4 linked regions of the Drosophila melanogaster genome follow. The protein of the gene in region 3 interacts with the protein of the main gene of each other region in a pairwise test. Each region holds a gene or a part of one and is shown on either strand. Other genes may lie near its edges. The genes, in order: CG5674, CG3517, CG6276 and CG32633.

Region 1 (5,354 bases), on a different chromosome or scaffold from region 3:
GAGCACCCAATAAATGGAGTAAGTGGTATTCAAGTGAATGGTAAAGGGGAATTGCCATTTAAATGGCATCCCGGGTCCGGAAGAGGAGCCAAAGTCAAAGAAGACTCACTGACAAAGGGCAAAGCCCAGCTGCAAAGTCAAAAGTGCGGCATGAGTGCAAACTGATTAATCACATTTGGTGGGCTTACATTTATGGCAGATGTGGGGACATATTCGTGTGTATGTACCAGGAAATGGGCGGCAAACACATGCAGATGTCACATTAGCCTTATACTTTAATTAATTTCTAATCCCAGCTCATTGAAGGCGGCTGCAATTAGATGGCGACGCCGTTGCTTGTAGGCTGGCAAGGATTACAAGGATGTGGCCGCTTGGCCCCGACATTTGTCAAACACTAAACACTGAAGAAGCCAAAGGAGGATATCAATTTGTGCATTTGAGTGTAAAGTACGGATTCGCCTGCCCATCAACTGCAAATTAGACATTCAAAATTTAATCGGCAATGCAAGTTTTTGGGGATTTTGGGGCGGGCACATAATTAAGCTGCAACTTTGTGGGGATTATTCAATGCGAATTGGAATCAACCAAAACCACAAGCTTTTAACATTAAATGCGATGAACTATTTGGTTAAGTTGGTAATCCAGCATTGCGGCGGGTGAAATAGTTTAAGGGCCTCATTAATGTGGTTGCGGCTTGGGAATATTTTGGAAATTGATCTTTATGTAGCCTAAATGCATAAGAAGGAGGTCTTTAAACTGTTCTTCCTTGTAGCTAATTGGATTTGAAGTTCGGAGCGGAGTTTATGTATCTTTTGATATACACATTCACTTTATATCCTTACTCAATTACCTTTTCAGCCTTATCGCGCTGCCTAATTCCTTAATCCGCAACTAAATTTCCATTTGAAGCGTAATAAATTATTTATTCTCAATAGCCGACAGCACAACAAGTTGGGAAAGGCGTACAACAAAATCTGAGAAGTCTGCATAGCTAAATTTGCAAAATGTGTTAACAAACTGCCACGCCCACCGATACGAGGCACTGTGATTTGTGCGGAGGGCAATTTATATGCCACAGAAGCCGGCTGCCACGCCCCCTTCTCGGTACCGGGAGGCACTTTACACTCAAATTGTGTTAATTTGCATATTGGAAACTTTTGCCTAATTGAACATAATGCCACTTAATTAAAGTTAAGACAAGTTTTTGACGGTAAAATGGTTTTGGGCCTGGGGGATGTCGGGGATGTCTTGGCAACTAAAAGTATGCCCGACATTTATGGCAGTTTGTTGTTGAAATTTACGGCAATTAGTTTAATATGAGCAGATTATGAGGGACACAGGACGCAATAAAATCCCTTCGGCGGTGGCAAATTAATTTTTAGGGGCATCCCCGAATAAACACAGACACTGAGACATATGGAAATCAATTAGCTCTTCAGAGTCTAAGTCCTCGCCTTAAATGTTTAATGGCCCATTTTTATGTTTGCCTTTGGCTGCCTAATTGTTAGTTGTTTAAATATTTACTTAGAATTAGTTGGGACCCAAATGACAGCGTGTCAAGGGTAGGAAACTAATGTTAAAAGAGTTTCGTTTGGTTTTTATTTAATATTTGCGAAGGTGAATTGCTATTCAAGTGTCAGTCCAACACATTCTTCGCTTCTCTACATATATATTTGAAATATATTGGTATAAAATAATATTGAGTGGTGTTTAATAATCTTCGACTATTAGCGCTGTTCCGGCCAAGAGAATTTGTTCCGCAGTTCCGGTCACAATATCAACATTTAGGTGGCAAATCAATTTGTCGCGACTGCTCCGAGAATATAATGGGAGTTTGGGCTTCGATTCAGCATTTTGCGTGGAATATAGCGAATTTTTGCCGTATTTTGAGGAACTAGTAGTCGTATGACTGACATTTTGTACTTCGTCTTTTATTTTGTACTTGATGTAGAAGGGGTTCGATTTTCCCATTCCACTCTGGGCGCCATCAATCTGTAATGGAAAATGAATAGTGCCAAGTTTAGTTACTAATGAAATACTTAGATATATTCCACATTACATATATTCACAATTGCTAAAAACAAAAAAAAAGGCGAAAAGCGGGTAGATGATTTGCAAAGTTTATTCTCCAAGTCCTAAAATGTATATACAAAAAAATAGTTATTTGTTTTTTTACAGTGTTAGTTCTAGCAGGTACACCCATCAGGGCATAGCGGATGCACTCCCCATAGTCAGCTTCCAAACCGATTATCGATTGGCATCGAATACGTAGATATACAAACGAGAAGGGAAAGTAAAATGTAAGTTTGTGCTCAGAACTGCTTATCGATAGGCATCGGACAAGGTGCCATCTCTAATTCCCCCTCTTGTACCGGAATGTCAATCAAATGAAAACAAAAAAAGCGGCGTGAGAAAACTGAAAAGAACGGGCATCCAGTGCACATTTCAAGCTTAATTTCGATGCATTGAACGGCGGCGGCGCACCGAAAACAGGAGGCGCAGGATTACGGATACGGAAGCTATGGAAACGGCCAGAATGGAGACGGCGATGGAGACACATTTTATGGCCAAAATGGGGAAGGTGAGGAACAAAGACAAGAAGCAAACGGGCAAGAGGGAGAGAAGATGTCATCAGTCTTCGTCCCAAAAGATAAATAAGTATCTTTTGGGATTTTGGATTGGGGGAATCAATTTGGACTATGGATGTATGCATATCTACTATCCAGGTAATCCGTAACAGAGTATTGTTACTGTTACTACTACTACGTGTGCATCCAATTGTATCTGATATAGCAACCTGGCAAAATGTATCCCAAAATTATTTCTCAATGTTTATTGTATTTACTGTAACGCTTCTCGAGGGCTTATGATATTTAATGGTTATCCCCAACTTAACCAATGCGCCATCTACCGCGAATATTATAGTTATGGCAATTTCTTGGCTGATTATCCTGCGATTAGTTAAATTTCCTTTTATGGCTTCGAAATATATTCTTAGTCGCTAAAGAAGAAGACATAGAAGACATAACCCCTTGAATCATGAGTAAGTGGCTTGCTGAATTTGATTTCACAACTTGATGTCAAAACATTATCGGTTAAAGATACTAATTCTTACTCACCTTTAGCGGCGCCAGCTTGAGTATTATGTCCGAAGAATCACTTTCCAAGTTTGAGGAGCCGCAAGTTTGCAACTCCAGGCGTTCGGTGGAAACTGCCAGTTTTCGAGACTGCAGCAGCTTTAAACAGGACAACAGGTTCTCACAGTTAAACACCTGGACGAAATTGATATCCTCTACAAAATCCAGATGCATTTGCTCCCGGAATCGAAGTTCGGCAGCCTGGGCTCGAACGATTAGGGCTCTTAAAAAGTCCACGGCACTGTTGCTGCCAGGTCCAGGCCATAGTTTAAGCCAACTGGCAGGAATCTATGAATTTCAGTTTATTATGCATTTTCAAGTTACGTTACTGTACCCCAGTTTCTTACCTGCTGTTCTGCCAGAGTTCTCAGAGTGCTGCCATCCACCTCCTGCGACTCCTTAAGCCAGGCATGCATCTGCGACAAAGTCTGGTGAACTATGCCGTAGAGATCCGCCCCTAGTTTCAGTTCAGCCAGCACAAAAAGTGCCCAGGGAGATTCACCCACATCAGTTTTTGCCTCCTTCATAGTCTGGATTATGGTACACGAAGCCGCCAACTTTCTCCATAGATTCAGTAGGGGTTTAATTTGCTGTTCCAGCTTCTGACGACCAGTGAGCTGATCGTTTCCCTTAGACTCTCCTGCTCCTCCAGAATCCTTAGCCAAGCCTCTTCCGTAATGCAATCCCCTGAGTTCCTTTATCACTCTTTTGGCCTGTTCAATTTCGCGTTGCTGTTGTGCCTGATTGGCCAAACCATACATACTGGGCTCATCTGTGTCAGGAAGTTTCTCCAATGCAGCGTAGTAGTCCTGCAGTTGACCGCTAGTTGGTATGGATAGAGATAATCCAAGAGGTGACCAACGATTGCTTAAGACGTCCGCTGAACAAAACTGGTTCAGATAGGTTGTGAGTATCTCCAGATCCCTCTGATTATTTACTCTTCCGCCATAAGCGAGGGCTTCACTGAGACGTTGCATCAGCAACCAATCGCATTTTCCTGAATTAAGTTGCTGATCCATCATTCTTAGGATACCCAGAGCCGCTTTTAGATCTGCCTCACCGAATTCATAGTATTTTGACCAACCTTGTGGTATAAACTGTCGCCTTTGTTGAAGCACAGCTGTTAGGACAAAATAAACCAGTCTCATCTTGAGGCTCTTTGGTTGGTTTTTAAGCTTTTGATCCTGTTCAGCAGCGAAGTTCTGGAGCAAACGCATCACAATCTGCTTTAGTCCCTTAGGCTGCTCATAACGTACTTTAAGGCATTTATAAATGGCAGCTTCGGAAAATCCCTCGGTTGATTCGCACAATAGCCACAATCGAAAGTCTTTCGATTTTTGAATTTCACTTAATTCCCTTTCCATTTGAGTTAGAAATTCCGGCACCAAATGGACATTCTTAACGCATAACCAGTGGCCATCTATGGCAGCCTGACGCATTTCGGAGAGAACTCTTTTCTCAACACCTTTTCCAATAGCCATTTCTCTATACTTTTGATTGGCCCACTTTCTCAATTCAGTTGTTGGATCATTTTCCGCATGACTAACCATCAAAATCGGGCGATCACAGCTGCTCTGCTGCAGCAACTGCTCCACAGAAGGTTGGGTGGAGGCATCTGGGGAAATTCCCAGCAGATCGCTACTCACTTTTCGCAGTTGGTGAAGCATCAAGTCGGGTCGGAAAATCTGAGCAATAAGCACACGCTGGAAGCTGGACCCCAACGCAGCTGTAAGTTCGAAAATAAATCTGAATAAGATGAAATTAACTAAATTATTTCTACAACTTACGTAGCACATCATCCGCTTGAGCCTCAATGAATCCGCGCCAGATATAGTCCTTCTCCAACTGGAGCTTGCTTCGCAAATCTGGGAACAATTGGAGTAACATAGCCAGCTTTAATTGCGCTTCCTTGGGCATGCAGTCGGGCAGTTTTCCAAGCTGACTTAGCACCATACTGCCATCAGAACTACCCATGAAATTGTTCACAAACAGCTCCCACTCCTTGGGGTTTAATCTATCGGGATATGCCTGATGACAAACCCACAAGGATAAGGATAGCTGGCTATCTCTAGAAGTAGCTCTAGCTAAATTCATATAAACACTTCGTACAAGACAATCATAGACCTTGGACTCATCTCGTTGACTTTTGGAAAGAGCCCCCAAAAATAGTTCAATGTAAACAAGAGGGGATAATTCATAGCCCTGGATGAGGCCTGC
Region 2 (4,026 bases), 4.1 Mb from region 3:
GATATTTTTAAAGCTGGATTATTTACAGACCAGATCTGTGGAAAAGTTTAACAGAGTGTGAACGACGCCTTAAAATTGGTTTAAAACAAGTGTTTATCATCCTGCAAACAAATTCGCACTTCAGGATAAAATATATATTAATCATATGGCAACCGTTATGATATTTTGCCAAACTTATTTTTGTTCTGTAACAATTTAAGCAGAGTTCAAAGTTTATTACTTTTAAAATGGTTGGCATATATCTTCAACATTAAAATATATCTAATATCAATCGATTAAACGAAACCTTAAAAAATATTACATAATCGGTGTTTTGCATAAATCTCTACAGATACATTTCGTGCCATTTGCTGTACATAAAACAATTTCCAGAGGTATTTTATTTCTGCTCGGAAAAATGGTTTCGATTGTAACTTTATACGGCAGACAGGTACTCCTATTGCCGCCTGACCATCGCCACGTGTCCGTTCCATGCTGTCAACTTTTATTGTTAGAGAAACGAATATGAATTTCTTGTGGGTCGCTTTTCCATTTTCCAAGAAAAATTGCCGGCTAACGAAGTCCGGCCGATAAGGCCCCGGCAACAACAGTTGGCCATTTTGTCTGGCCAAGATTTATGCGCGATTGCTCAAGTTTTATGAGTTACGTAGTTGCATTTTAGCCTAAAGAAAAAAGAAACAAGAGCCCGAAGGTTGTGGATTGAAATCGCTCATCTTCAGGACCGCACCGCGCTGCTATTTCATTATGAGTTAAACAAAGTTGTAACGACTTTTCTCCCTTTTTTTTTTTTTTGTCTGCGACAGATTATGGGGCTTTTGTGCTCTGCGATTAAAGCCAGTTTTCTTACACTTATGGCCAAAAAGTTCCCTGATATGCAAGGGGTCAAGTTGGAAGGACATTGAGCAAATGAAGATTTACATTCGTCAGCGATTTTTTTCCGTTCGCCTTTTCCATTAGAATAAATGTTATTAGATGACTCTTCGGTTCCCGTGACATTTGTCAACAGGAAACGGATATGGCAAAGCTTGTCTAATAAATTCTTTGATGTATTTACGCTGACGTTTCCCTTGGGAACGAGCTCAGGATGTCGTACTTTATTTATGCCACTGCCAGACGCATTTCTCACTCCCCAATGAATCATAAACTGACTCAATGCCGTCATCAACAATTACGAATGTATCCCGCCCAAAAAAAAAAAAAGGACATCCATTACGAAGGCCGCAAAAAGAGAAATGAAATGTCGCGTCGCCTACTTGGCGGCTGCCTGAAAATTTCCACTGTTGGCTTAACAAATATTTGACCCATCGAAACTTATACGTGTGTCTACAAGGAATGGGCAAACAAACGAAAACACAACTCAAACAATCTATGCCGTATCAAATGCCGCTTAGCCCCCGACAACATGAAAAGCCAAGAAAGTAACCAAATTTGGAGAAAATCCTGAGGCTTTGCCTTGTTATCTGACACTTGTGTTTATTTTGGGAATAGAAACACAATTTGGCCAAGAAAAACTTGGTTTTATAAAATGTTGTATGTTTTCATACCTTTACAGTACGACAATCTTTCCAAACAAAAATAGTGAATATTTTATTCTCTGATAAACGGAAAAGCATTTGATTGTTAAGAGACTTACAAATGAAAATGTACTGCGGATGTAGTTTGATTTATTGCAACAATTGTATTTCGCACTTGTGGTTATTTTTAAAAAAAACGAAATATTCCATTCCCGTTTTAGTTTACCAAATGGGAAAAACTCGAAATCTAGCAGCAATTGATCATTTTAAATCCTGTCAGGCGAACATTCGCCCATAACATTCATTTGGCTTGTCTCGTTTTATCAACTAGTTAGAAAAAAACTTTTAGGTAAAAAATTCGAAAATTGTTCATGCTGCAAGGAGTAGCGAACAGCATCAAAATAGAGGTAAGACCGATTCGCGATGCAGGCCCATCATGCGATGCCCGATTTCCGATGCCGGAATAATTGCCAGCACAAGGAGTGCCAGAGGCATGCTCCTTTGGGCATAATCGATCAGCACACCCAGTGCAAGTGCTTGGGCGAGGTAAATGCCTCATCGATTTTCCTAGAAAATGTCCTGGACCTGGCCAACACTTTGGCCCAGGTGATGATCATCTGTGGACTGCACGAGTGCAAAGCGAAATCAACCGTGGACATTATCACATATGCCTTCTTGCATTACGATCAGGTGTGCTATTGCATTGATACCACGCCCAAGAAGCGACTGAGAAAGGAGGATTTGTTCCACGAGCTGGGCAAGAAGTCGCTGATGAACAAGGTGGAGGCCCACTTGGCCTATGCCATCATCAAGAGGGGATTCAAGGCCTTCTACTACGAGCCGAAAGTGGACTTGACCTACGATGAGCAAGGCAGACCCTCGTACAACGATGAATGCGTCTGGGTCCACGCAGCCAGGAAGTCAGCCGAGTCCTATGCCCGCTTCGATGGCCTCTCCTGCGCCGAACAGTTGGCATACGAGGCCAAGATCAAAATAGCCTTCAAGAAGTTCTACGATCGCATGCAGACGCGCAAGAGGCAGCCGGAGGGCGACGATTGCAACTGCTGCTTCTGTGCCAAGAAGCGGGGACATCTGGTCTATGCCAAGGAACCGACTCCCTGCACTTCCAACAAAAAGAAGCCCAAGCACGTGTGTCCATATTGCTGCAAGAAGAAGCAGAAGCAGCAGTACACACACCCTGCTCGCCAGCCGGCCAAGTGCCCCAAGTGCCACAAGTCGCGCAAGTTCTGCTGCTGCACCAAAATGGACTTCAACTTGCAGTGGGTCAAGAGCATATGGGAGCGGCCGGACTTCAATCAGTACTACAAGAACGAGATCGCCGAAATCGAGGACCGCCTGGTCAAGGGAACCTGCTGGCTGCCGCCGGAGCCTGAGGAGAAGCTGCTCGATGAGGGCGAGGGCGAGGAGGAGGAGGAAGCCCACCAGGAAATGTCGCCGGAGGCTCTCCTCGCCCTCGGCGGCAAAACGGTGCCCACTATACCGGATGAAGGAAACGGTTCTCCACTGGCCACCAAACAGCCGTCGATCACCGAGGGTGAGGGCGAGACCTAAGTTTGAAGGATCCTGCGAATCGGCGCTTGCTAGATTTCTAAATTTTACTTTACTCTTGAGGAAAGCAGTTCTCAAAATTTTCAGTTCCAGCTGTTCTTCAACAATTTATCATTAAAGTTGTACTCAAGCTAGTTTATGTACTTTTCTGTAAACAAGGTTTCTTTTATTTTCGTTCCACATAGCCATGGTATCATTAAAGGATTAAGAGCCTTTCAAAAGTAAATTTTTCGAAGAAGTATAGCTCTTAAACAAAATTACTGCCAGACCTAAGGTAGCTCAAATGTTTAATAAAAGGTTTAAAATCAGAAGTTCATTCAATTGAATCTGGTTAAATTCCACCAACTTCACTTTTAATTACCCAAAGTAATGGCTCGAAAATAAGGGGAAGTGAGGAGGTCATATCAACTGCCTTATATTAAGACGGAAAATTGAGTTTGCTCTTAGGGGACACACACACCTAGCTCGAACAAACACGGCCGCATCCATTTGGCCCACTCACACTCTTGGCCACTTGGAAAACTAAACCGGCTGCGAAGAGCTGTGACCTGTGTTGGTGTCTGTGTCTACTTTGGCCGAAAGTGGCATGCAACAGTAATGGAAAATACATTTAATCTGGCTTATGCAGCAGCTCGGCCCGACGATAACTCGGGCGCACTTCATCACAGCACTTGCGGCTGAGCAACCCACCTAGGAGAACACCTCTCTTTGAGCTGGAAAAGTGAAAATGTGGGAAAGCGTTCAGGCAGCCCAGAGGCAGCCATTTCTCTCACCTGGAGAAAAGTGAAAAATGCTGAAATGTTGACCATGGTCATGACGGCTGCTGCCTTGAACTTCCCTGGATAAACTTTTCGCATTGCAAATGCATGAAAACTTTCCCTTTTGTTTATGTGCACTTCACTCAACTTTCGCTCTCCAACCGAACAAAACGCACACTTTTGGC
Region 3 (4,608 bases):
CGTGAAACACACCCTTTCCGCCAACGGCAGCACTTTTAGCCTCCGGAGAGTGCTTGGAGACAGGCACCTGGGCCATGTTGTTGGCCGTTACGCTGGTCTTCGTGATAGGCGGACCGAAGAGGGCAGAGAAGGCATTGCTCTTTCCGGGATCCTCGCTGCGCGACTTGTGTTTCTTGCCGGTGTTTAAATCCGAGTTCATGGATATTGTACCTGGTACGCCTTTGGCTTTGACACCAGACATCTCATTACTGTGCGCTGTCTCACCGCTGCCAACACTGGGCGAAAGCGTTCGGGCGAGACTGCCGGCACCGATGTTAGCTCCGAACACTGGCACTCCACCGCCTCGCATAAGTTTCGTGCGAAACTCCTCCGACGGCGCCTCGAAAATGTGCGTCTTTACCTCGACGTGGTGCTGCGGTGGACCCGTGGACTGCAGTACCAGGTCGTACTGGTAAACAATGCGCTTGGGTTCGTCTCGGTTGCGAAAGTAAATCTCAACAGGCAGTAGGAAGCCAGCGTAGCCGGACTCCTGAATGGCATACGGCGGTTCCTTGACCACTGCAAATAAACAATTCGGGTAACAGAGTTAATCCGACTGAACTACTCCCATGATATATCGCCGCATTTACCTCGTTTGGGTTTCGGAAAGGATTCGTGCAGCACAAAGACCACCTTCTCCACAAAAGCACTGATGTCCGCCTTGTTCACGCCCTGAACGTAGATCTCCCAGTCGTGCGTAAAGGCCTGCGGATGCGGTGTCTTCTTGCTGCGCAGCTTCGACGTGTGGCCAATTTCGAATTGCACCTTGACCGCCATGCCTGTGGGTAGGGCATCAAGTTCCAGTGATTGCCTGCAATTAAGTGGTGAATTAAGATGCTACGTATTAGCGCGCCAAAACCAATGCAACTCGAGTGTGCAAGCACTTAAGCTTGATGCGACGTAAACAAATGATCGCCAGTTATGTGGAAAGGCCCAATGGATTGCCAAACGAGGTGTTAGCCAAGTATTGCGCTCCTTGCTTTCGCTTCAGTGTGCATGCGTGATTTCTAATGCGAATCCTGTGGCAGGTCACGTCCTCCAAGTCTGCGCCTGGCTTTGGAAACCTTTCAATCGGTCTCAGGATGCCCGCACTAGCTACCACATTTTGAATATCCTTTGATAACCGACGTTTTTTGTTATGATTCGCTTTGCGTTCAATTTGTTATTGTTTGTGAGCGAATGTGTGCCACAATGTGGACTTTTCATGTTGCAAGCTTTCGCCGTGTTTGTGGTTTCCTTTAGCCACATGCCCCCACCAGCCACGCTTTATACTTACTATCGCGCCGTGCGGCATTCACATGGAGATGCGCACAATTTTCAGAAAAAACGTAAAAGCTTGGAGCCAGAATCGAAGTAAATTTTGGAAAAACACAGAAAATAAAATCCAAAATGGTAAAGTGTGACCAAAGTTCGGGGCACCAAAAAATACACTTGAGTCGGGTAAAATATACTAGAATATGCGTTGCGTTTACTTTTTCTAGGGTGGCTCGTGAAATTAGTTTTAAATATGTACATATATCTAGTTTAAATTCATTCAGATTTTTAACTCGATGCATTTTTTAAAGAATAGAGTGCTTTATTTGTTTCTTAGTAGAAAAAGTATAGTTTCTTGCCACATGGTCCTTGGGGCCCATTTCCGCACGGAACTGGGGATGGTGCCGCCGAAGTGGTTGAAGTATCAGAGGAGGCTTCCGTCGTGGTTGTCGAGGTGGAGGATGCAGCGAATCCAACGATGGCGCACAGAAGGAACAGAATGGCGAAGAACTTCATCTTGATTACTCTTTTGTGACTGTGATATTTTCCCGGGGATAGTTGCTCAATTTTATACCTTTCATTTTTAGATTTGCAAATATTGACACAAATGCTTCAATTCCGCCTATGTACCAAATATCAAGAGAAAAGAAACAATTCGGCAAACACTGCGTGGTACTTAAATAATGTGTTTTGTGTTTGTTTAGAAATAGCAACACATGGAATTTCGCTTTTTGCCACTTACAGGTTAAGCTTTTAAGCATAGCACGCGGATTCAGACAAGATGATATATATATGGGAAATTTTTATATTGCATGATCATTGTTTTTAAGGAACCCGCATAAACCAAAATAGTCAGCAAAAGCTTCTGTGATCCGGAACCAGTTCGGCCGCCTGTTTGGTTCACAGCACTTAAAAGAACACTTGGGAAAAACAATAAAAATATTTCGCAAAAGTTATGGCGAACGCTGGATAAGTCAGCCAAAAATTGAATCCATCGGAGCGACTGCCTTGGAGCCACAGCCCACCCATGATGACGACCGACTTCGCGGGCAGCCAGTTCGTGTCCAGCAATCCCAACACCAGCTGTAGTGCATCCCGCTGGCTAACGGAGGAGGTATTTGCATGGATATGCAATTTGAAAATGATTTGATTCACATATTTCTGTTGTTCTGTAGGTCTTTAAACTAATCGAAATTGTGCAGCGCGACGAGGCCATCTACAATCCGAGGCACAAATACTACTTTTGCCGCCCGTACGTGGAGAACTTTTGGCGCGAGGTGGATTTGAAGCTGGAAAAGAATCCGGGCGCCAGTCTGGCCAAGTGGACCAATTTGCGCATCTCGTTCCGACGAGAGTACACCAACTATCTGGAGGAAAAGGTGCCACCCTGCTGGTCCTACTTCGACCGCATGTTCTTTCTGCATCCGTATCTACGCAAGAAGCACCAGCAGCCCAAATCGCTGGACACACAGGTGCAGGACGCCCTGGCACACCTCTCGAACCTTTCTAGTCGTATGCAGCGTGAGCGTTCAGTGACCATTCCGGGCAGCAGCAGTATTGGTGGCCAGCCCACGCCCTCCGCCCACCAGTCACCACCTGCACAGCAGCTGGACAACTATCTGGACTACTTTGACGAGGCGGAACACAACAACTCCGAGCTGGATGACATCATGGAGGAGGAGCAGCAGCGCAACAGTCGTTACCACGGCCAGTTGGACGGCAACGACATTAAGTCGGAGTGCGAGGAGCCGGTGGATGACTACGAACAAGAGGCGCACGAGCCCGAGGAGGATGAACAGGATGACCAGGACCTACACAAGATGGCGCCTACTTCTAGCTCTTCATCGGCGGAGGCCCAGCGTCGTTATGCCAACCAGCATTCACACGCCAGCCGAATGCTTCCGGGTCGCCTCCAAATGCGCACCTACCATGACGAGATGCGTGGCGCTATTCGTCCGCGTTCCCAGGAACTCCAAGCTCCAACTGCAGCAGTGGCCGGGGTCAACTACTCCGCACAGCCGACTGCCCATCCAAACATTTCGTTTGTGCGACCTACTTTCAGCAAGCCCGTGGATTTGGTTAGCACTACAACGCACGCCGGAGGCGGAGGAGGAGGAGGTGTTCCAGGAACTGCTGGCTTATCCGAAGCGGAACTGCCCACACCATCCACTGCGGCCGTGGCCACCCCGATGGCGCCCAGTAGTAGTGTTAGTGCCAGCAGTAGCAGTAGCTACTTGAGTCAACGGCATGGGCACAACCATATGCATGGAGGACATCCACAGGTGCCGCCGTCAGCGCTTCCTCTGCGTTTGGAAGCCAACAACGCGTCCGGCGGATCCGTGTCCAACGGCGGTGCGGAGCTGTGCGACTGCAAGACCGATCCGGATGCCATGTTTCTGATGAGCCTGCTGCCCGACATCCAAAAGCTGAACGGCCGTGATCGCGGCAAGATAAAGATAGCCTTCCAGAACATCCTGCAGGACTACCTGTATCCGGATTAGCGTTGATCTCTGTGTATACCTTCCGCTTAACGCAAACGGAACCCAGTTCCAGTATCGATTTTGTTTAATATTCTCTTTTGTATTTTCGTTGGAGAAAAAAAAAGAATCCTTTAAGCTTCGCTGTGCAAGAACAAAGTATCCTTAAAAACGTTTTGAAAACTATCCGGTATGTTTATTAATTGTATAAATATTTATAAATATTTAATGTGTAACACAAGAATAAATTCATTTGAAATTATGCGATATATGGCTAGGTAACTTGAAGTATCACATGAGGATCGGAATGGGTTGCATCCCATCCTCACTCGAACAGCTTCAGCTCGCGGGTGATCTTCTTGATCTTGTTGTCCAGCGTCTTGTCCTCGTGCTCGCAGATGTAGTAGTGCCGCGAGGTGCACTCCTGTCCGTAGTACACATAGCTGTGCTTTCCGGCATTGTAACTTAGCCGTAGGCAGCGACCCTTGCCCTCTATTTGCACCGTGTTGTTCAGCACATCCTCGCCGGTCGCCTCCTCTGCCGCCTGCTCCGAACTGTCCACCAGATTGGCGGCCGTCGAGTTCTCCCCCTTCTGGGCCATCGCAATGGATGTGAGATTCATGTTGGGATTCACCGGCTTAGCCGAATTGGACCAGATCCAGAGGAGGCCAGGATTGAGACCGCCCAGCCAGTAATCGCGACCACGATGCGTCGGCTGATTCAGCAGATAGGCCATGATCTCCTCATTCTCCGAGACCTTCTCGAACTCGGCCAGGTGGGAGTTTAGACCCTTGCAGGCAGAGTTTGCCGTCTTCCAGTTCACCTGCTGCTGGCTGTT
Region 4 (4,498 bases), on a different chromosome or scaffold from region 3:
CGTTGGCGCTGCTTCTGCACCCATTAGCTGATACGGCGGATCAGCGCGAGGGAGGAGGAATCCAAACCCAAGCCCAAAGCCAAAGCCAGACCAGTCGCAACCGCAGACCCACGTGAGTGACCGGCGACGACTAGACAGTGCGAGTCCATGCTTGGATGCATACATACATACATACATATGTATGTGTGCGTCTGGATGTGACCCACGGCGATGGCCCCTGAAACCAGGATGCACCTAGCCCAGAAGCAACCCTCCTGCGTTCGCCGCCCCTGGCTACCCTCGAAAAACTGCCGCATTGTGTGGCCAGAAAGCGAAACCGCGACTGCAACTGGCCCTGCAATAGAAAATGCACTGCAAAAAAACTGGGAGTATGTATTTAAAGTACTTGATAAAGTTGGATTATTAAATAACACAATTAAATTTAATATTAATAGAGAAGTAGTATTCTTATCAAGATGAGAACTAAGGAGCTATGTTAATCTTGAACCAGGTGTGGCCAACTTTATTTTTCACAGTGTGGCAAGGATAAGCAAAGCGACCAGAAAAGTATAACCAGCAAAGATGGACCCATGGAGAACGGATGCGAATCGAGAGCGGAAAGCGTGACAGATAGATGGGTTGGAGCAGCAAGGGGTTAATGAAGGAGGGCATTTAGTTCGTGGTACTGTGGAAATGATTAAAATGTATTAGGTGAAATTAAGTTGGCCAAACAGAGAAATGGGGGGGGGGGGTTTAAATAAAGAGGCCAAAATGAGGTTAAAACGTTGCACAAAGCCAAATGGAGCCTGGCTGGGCGAAAACAAATTCATTAGGCTGCAGTGGCATAAAAACATCATACCCACAAAAAGAAGATGCACAACGAAAACCGAACAAAGTTGATTTAAAGTATTATAATCTGCAACATTTTTGCGTATTTCGAGAATGCAGCTTGTTTACCCAGTTTGAAGTCAAGTTAGACTTATCTCTGGTTAATTGGTTTGCTCGAGAGCAGGGCGCGCAAAGCTGCTGGGAAATCGTGGAAAAATCGTAAAGCTTAATAATGACACTCCCCACACAGCCCCTACCACCAGTCCAGCATTGGGAATTCACAAGCCACTGTAAACAGGTGCAAACGTTGCGTTGCACAGCAATTTCAGCAACCCCTCTTAACTTTTGCGCCCAGCTTTCCACGTTTTCCCTTGTTCAAATAGTTGTAAATGGGCGAAAATGCAAACAAAAAACAGTGATCCACTTGAAAGGCAAAACAAGAAAAATCATTCAAAGAGGCAACAATGCTGGGAAAACAAAAGGAAAACGAACGAAAACGAACTGCAAAGACAGCGACCACTAAATAAGTGAAGTGCGTGGACGACTGGACGAGTGGAAATGCGGAAAAGTGGGAAAGCGGAAAAGCGCGCGCAAGAAATTTGCAATGTGGCGAATAAATAAAGGATCAAGCGATTCCCCCATTCAAATTGGCGAATATTGGGCGGTTAAATGGAGATACATGCACGGATGTAAGGCAACTCGAAAAGGTGGCACAACAAATGAACGAGATAACTGGTTAACCACGAGTTGTAAACGCGCAAGCTATTGTTATTAGTATGTTAAAAAGCGGAATAAACTTTTTGTGTTTAACTACAGCTCCATGAAATATGTATATGCTATATGTAACAAACAATAAGCGAGAAAGTTTGTCGGCAACAAAAAAAAAAGTAATAACCATTATGATATTATGAATGCAATTACATTCTTGACGACTCGAAAGAATTTTAAATGTATAAATTATAACGAGATAAAAAAATAAAATATAAATCAAATTTACTTAACATTTATAACATTTCTAGTGCAATATTTACTTTCACTATATGGGTTAATAAAATAAACTTGCCTGTTTCTCGATGTTAAACCCCATTACTTCCAATTGGCCAATCGATTAGAAATTCAACAAGAGTTTGCCAAGATCTGAGTCACTTGAGGTCGGGCTTCTTATCTGGCCATGTAGGTATATTCCCGATAAGCCCTATCAGCGACATCGAGGCGGAAACACAAAAAGACCATCAAATCGACCACTTTCACAGTTGAAAGTCAGAGCTGCTGAAGAACGGACAAGAAAATGGCAGGTAAATAGGTCGTAAGGCCAAGATGCCATAACAAAAAATGAAAACATTTAACTAGGTGGATGATATAAAACAGTTACCAATCTTTAAAGTACTTAATCAGTTGAAACTCAAAATAAATTAATTCAATTTTGGAAACTAACTTGGCCTAGCCAAATAAACTAGTTTACTTGCCATGAACAACAGAATTAAAGAGTTATACCATTCGGTGTGCTGTTAAATAATCGTTTCATTTTTCCATTATCCCCCAGACCACAGATGGATGCACTTCAGCAACGGCAGCGTGCCGCCGAATGCCGTGGTGGCTGGTCACGATTCGGACGGGGACACCATCTACGTGGGCCGTGCCTTCTTCTCCAACGACATGCTGCCGGCGAAGGTGATTCCCAACAAGGGCAAGGCCTACGTGGCGTATGCGCGCGAGGAGCACGAGCTGGAGAACTACGAGGTGCTTTCCGGCTACAACTACGAGTGGCTGTCGGCGGAGAACGGGGAGGTGCCGCCGGGCGCCGTCAAAGTTGGTCGGAATGTGGACGGCGAGTATTTGTATGCGGGCAGGGGTTATCATGCCGGCAGCTTAACCATGGGCAAGGTGCATCCATCCCACGGCTGCCTGTATATTCCCTACGATTCCGATGAGGTTAAGATCTTTGCCTACGAGGTGCTGTGCCAGCCGGAACGTTGGATCGACACCACCGCAACAAATATTCCGGATGGAGCTCTGGTTGCTGGGCACGATTCCAACGGGGACACCATCTACGTGGGCAGGGTGTTCCGCAATGGTGATCTGCTGCCAGCCAAAGTGGTGCCGGCGAAGGGGAAAGCCTATGCCGCCTATGCCCAGGCGGAGCACGAGCTCACCGACGTCCAGGTGCTGACGGGATCCGGATTCCGTTGGGTTCCGGCCTCGCACGGAAATGTGGCTCCCGGAGCCCTGTCCTCCGGTCCGAATGTCGACGGGGAGCCCCTCTACGTCGGCAGGGCCATCTACTGCGACAGCTTGAGTGTGGGCAAGATCCATCCCTCGCACGGCTGCATCTACATCCCATTCGGTGGCGAGGAGGTGCGTCTGGAGAATTACGAGGTTCTGGTGAGGATCTAGACGGACAGCTTTGCCTTTATTCCATTTTTTTTTTAATAAATCTATTTTTTACACACACAACAGAAGTATACAGATTAAAGTATAAATTTAAGTTTAATTCGATCGACATCGAGCAACGTAACTGATAAAATTTATGGTAATGCACCCAGTAATTCTAAAAAAAAAGTACCCCTTTCATAGAGTTTTGGTGATAATAGTTCAAAGTGGTTGTCATAGAAATTTCGAGGTATTGCGGATGTGAGGAATTTCTTCTATATGCGGGCCTTATGTTATCACATCGGTTATCAATTAGCAACAATCAATTGATTAGTTGGCCATAAATTTGCGTCAACTTGTAACATAATTAACCATTTGCCTTCGCCCACTGACTTAACAAACACTGCATCGTAAAACTCAGACAGATATCGCAGTTATCAGAATGTGTACATATATGCACTCGATGCTTTATAACTCGACCTTTCGTCTGCCGAGGTAAAAAGTTATAGGTATCGAAACTCTTTGTAACTTTCTTTGTATATTGAAAAGTTTATTAAAACGTTTCATAAAGTTAAAGTCAATTCATTAGTGGCGGGCGTAGCGTTTTATTTCATAGCTTATTAATGTGCACACGTTGTAATCAATACATGTTTTAAGCACTTATTTGACAGCACAAAGTTTCCCATGGAAATACTTTTTTTCGCAATTTATTTTATAGGAAAGTTGCTAAAAGGCCTTAATCTTAACACTATCATTGGCGCCACCTATGAGATGATTATCTGCACTAACCGTGGCGCCACCTATGACGAGCTGGAGAAAGTCGAGCCGTAGCAGTTTGCCTAACCGCCGACAGCTGGCGATTTAAGCTTTCGACTGGTTCCTGTCTTGGCTAAATGCATTGAGCTTTCTTTTCCAGTGTGACCGTTCCAGCGTAGTAACCAAACACCACGCCACACCATTGCGCCATACAGATATTTTAGGTAATTTCAGCGACGCCGCAGTCGACGTGCAGCCCGCTGCGCCCGACGGTCACACTCTGCCCCCAAACAGCTCCAAAATCGGTTGTCGTCGCGAAAAGTGCGAATCGAGTGCATATTTGCTGCAAAAAGAAGCGAGAACACGGTGACGTGACGAAAGCATTCGAGTGACGAAGAGTGCGAGCGCGCTGCATTTGTTTACGATTCCGATTCCGATGCCATTGGTCAATTGGTAAGGGGCTTTGGGAAGTGTAAGAGGAAGAGCGTGCGGCGCGGCAAGTAACGAAAGAAGAAGAAGCAGCAGCAGCAGGGCACACGCAACGTGCAACATTGTGTGCGAGCGT

What was found.
Region 1: the proteins of CG6276 (region 3) and CG5674 interact in a two-hybrid assay, tested with the Drosophila melanogaster proteins (one large-scale study listed by BioGRID).
Region 2: the proteins of CG6276 (region 3) and CG3517 interact in a two-hybrid assay, tested with the Drosophila melanogaster proteins (one large-scale study listed by BioGRID).
Region 4: the proteins of CG6276 (region 3) and CG32633 interact in a two-hybrid assay, tested with the Drosophila melanogaster proteins (one large-scale study listed by BioGRID).

Annotation. Positions count from the first base shown.
Region 1 is NT_033779.5:17,961,025-17,966,378, forward strand, and holds the start of CG5674 (uncharacterized protein), read left to right. Parts: upstream 1-2,354; 5' UTR 2,355-2,521; coding exon 2,522-2,581; intron 2,582-3,119; coding exon of another isoform or gene 3,120-3,425; intron 3,426-3,484; coding exon of another isoform or gene 3,485-4,863; intron 4,864-4,924; coding exon of another isoform or gene 4,925-5,354. Other genes in the region: btv (beethoven), read right to left, coding at 1,711-1,992, 3,120-3,425, 3,485-4,863, 4,925-5,354.
Region 2 is NT_033777.3:19,422,969-19,426,994, reverse strand, and holds CG3517 (uncharacterized protein), read left to right. Parts: upstream 1-1,795; 5' UTR 1,796-1,937; coding exon 1,938-3,086; 3' UTR 3,087-3,216; downstream 3,217-4,026.
Region 3 is NT_033777.3:15,317,626-15,322,233, reverse strand, and holds CG6276 (uncharacterized protein), read left to right. Parts: upstream 1-2,164; 5' UTR 2,165-2,320; coding exon 2,321-2,407; intron 2,408-2,468; coding exon 2,469-3,794; 3' UTR 3,795-4,031; downstream 4,032-4,608. Other genes in the region: ear (ENL/AF9-related), read right to left, coding at 1-558, 630-816; CG44040 (uncharacterized protein), read right to left, coding at 1,627-1,809; CG14866 (uncharacterized protein), read right to left, coding at 4,096-4,608.
Region 4 is NC_004354.4:13,559,616-13,564,113, forward strand, and holds CG32633 (uncharacterized protein), read left to right. Parts: upstream 1-2,055; 5' UTR 2,056-2,095; coding exon 2,096-2,102; intron 2,103-2,350; coding exon 2,351-3,201; 3' UTR 3,202-3,744; downstream 3,745-4,498.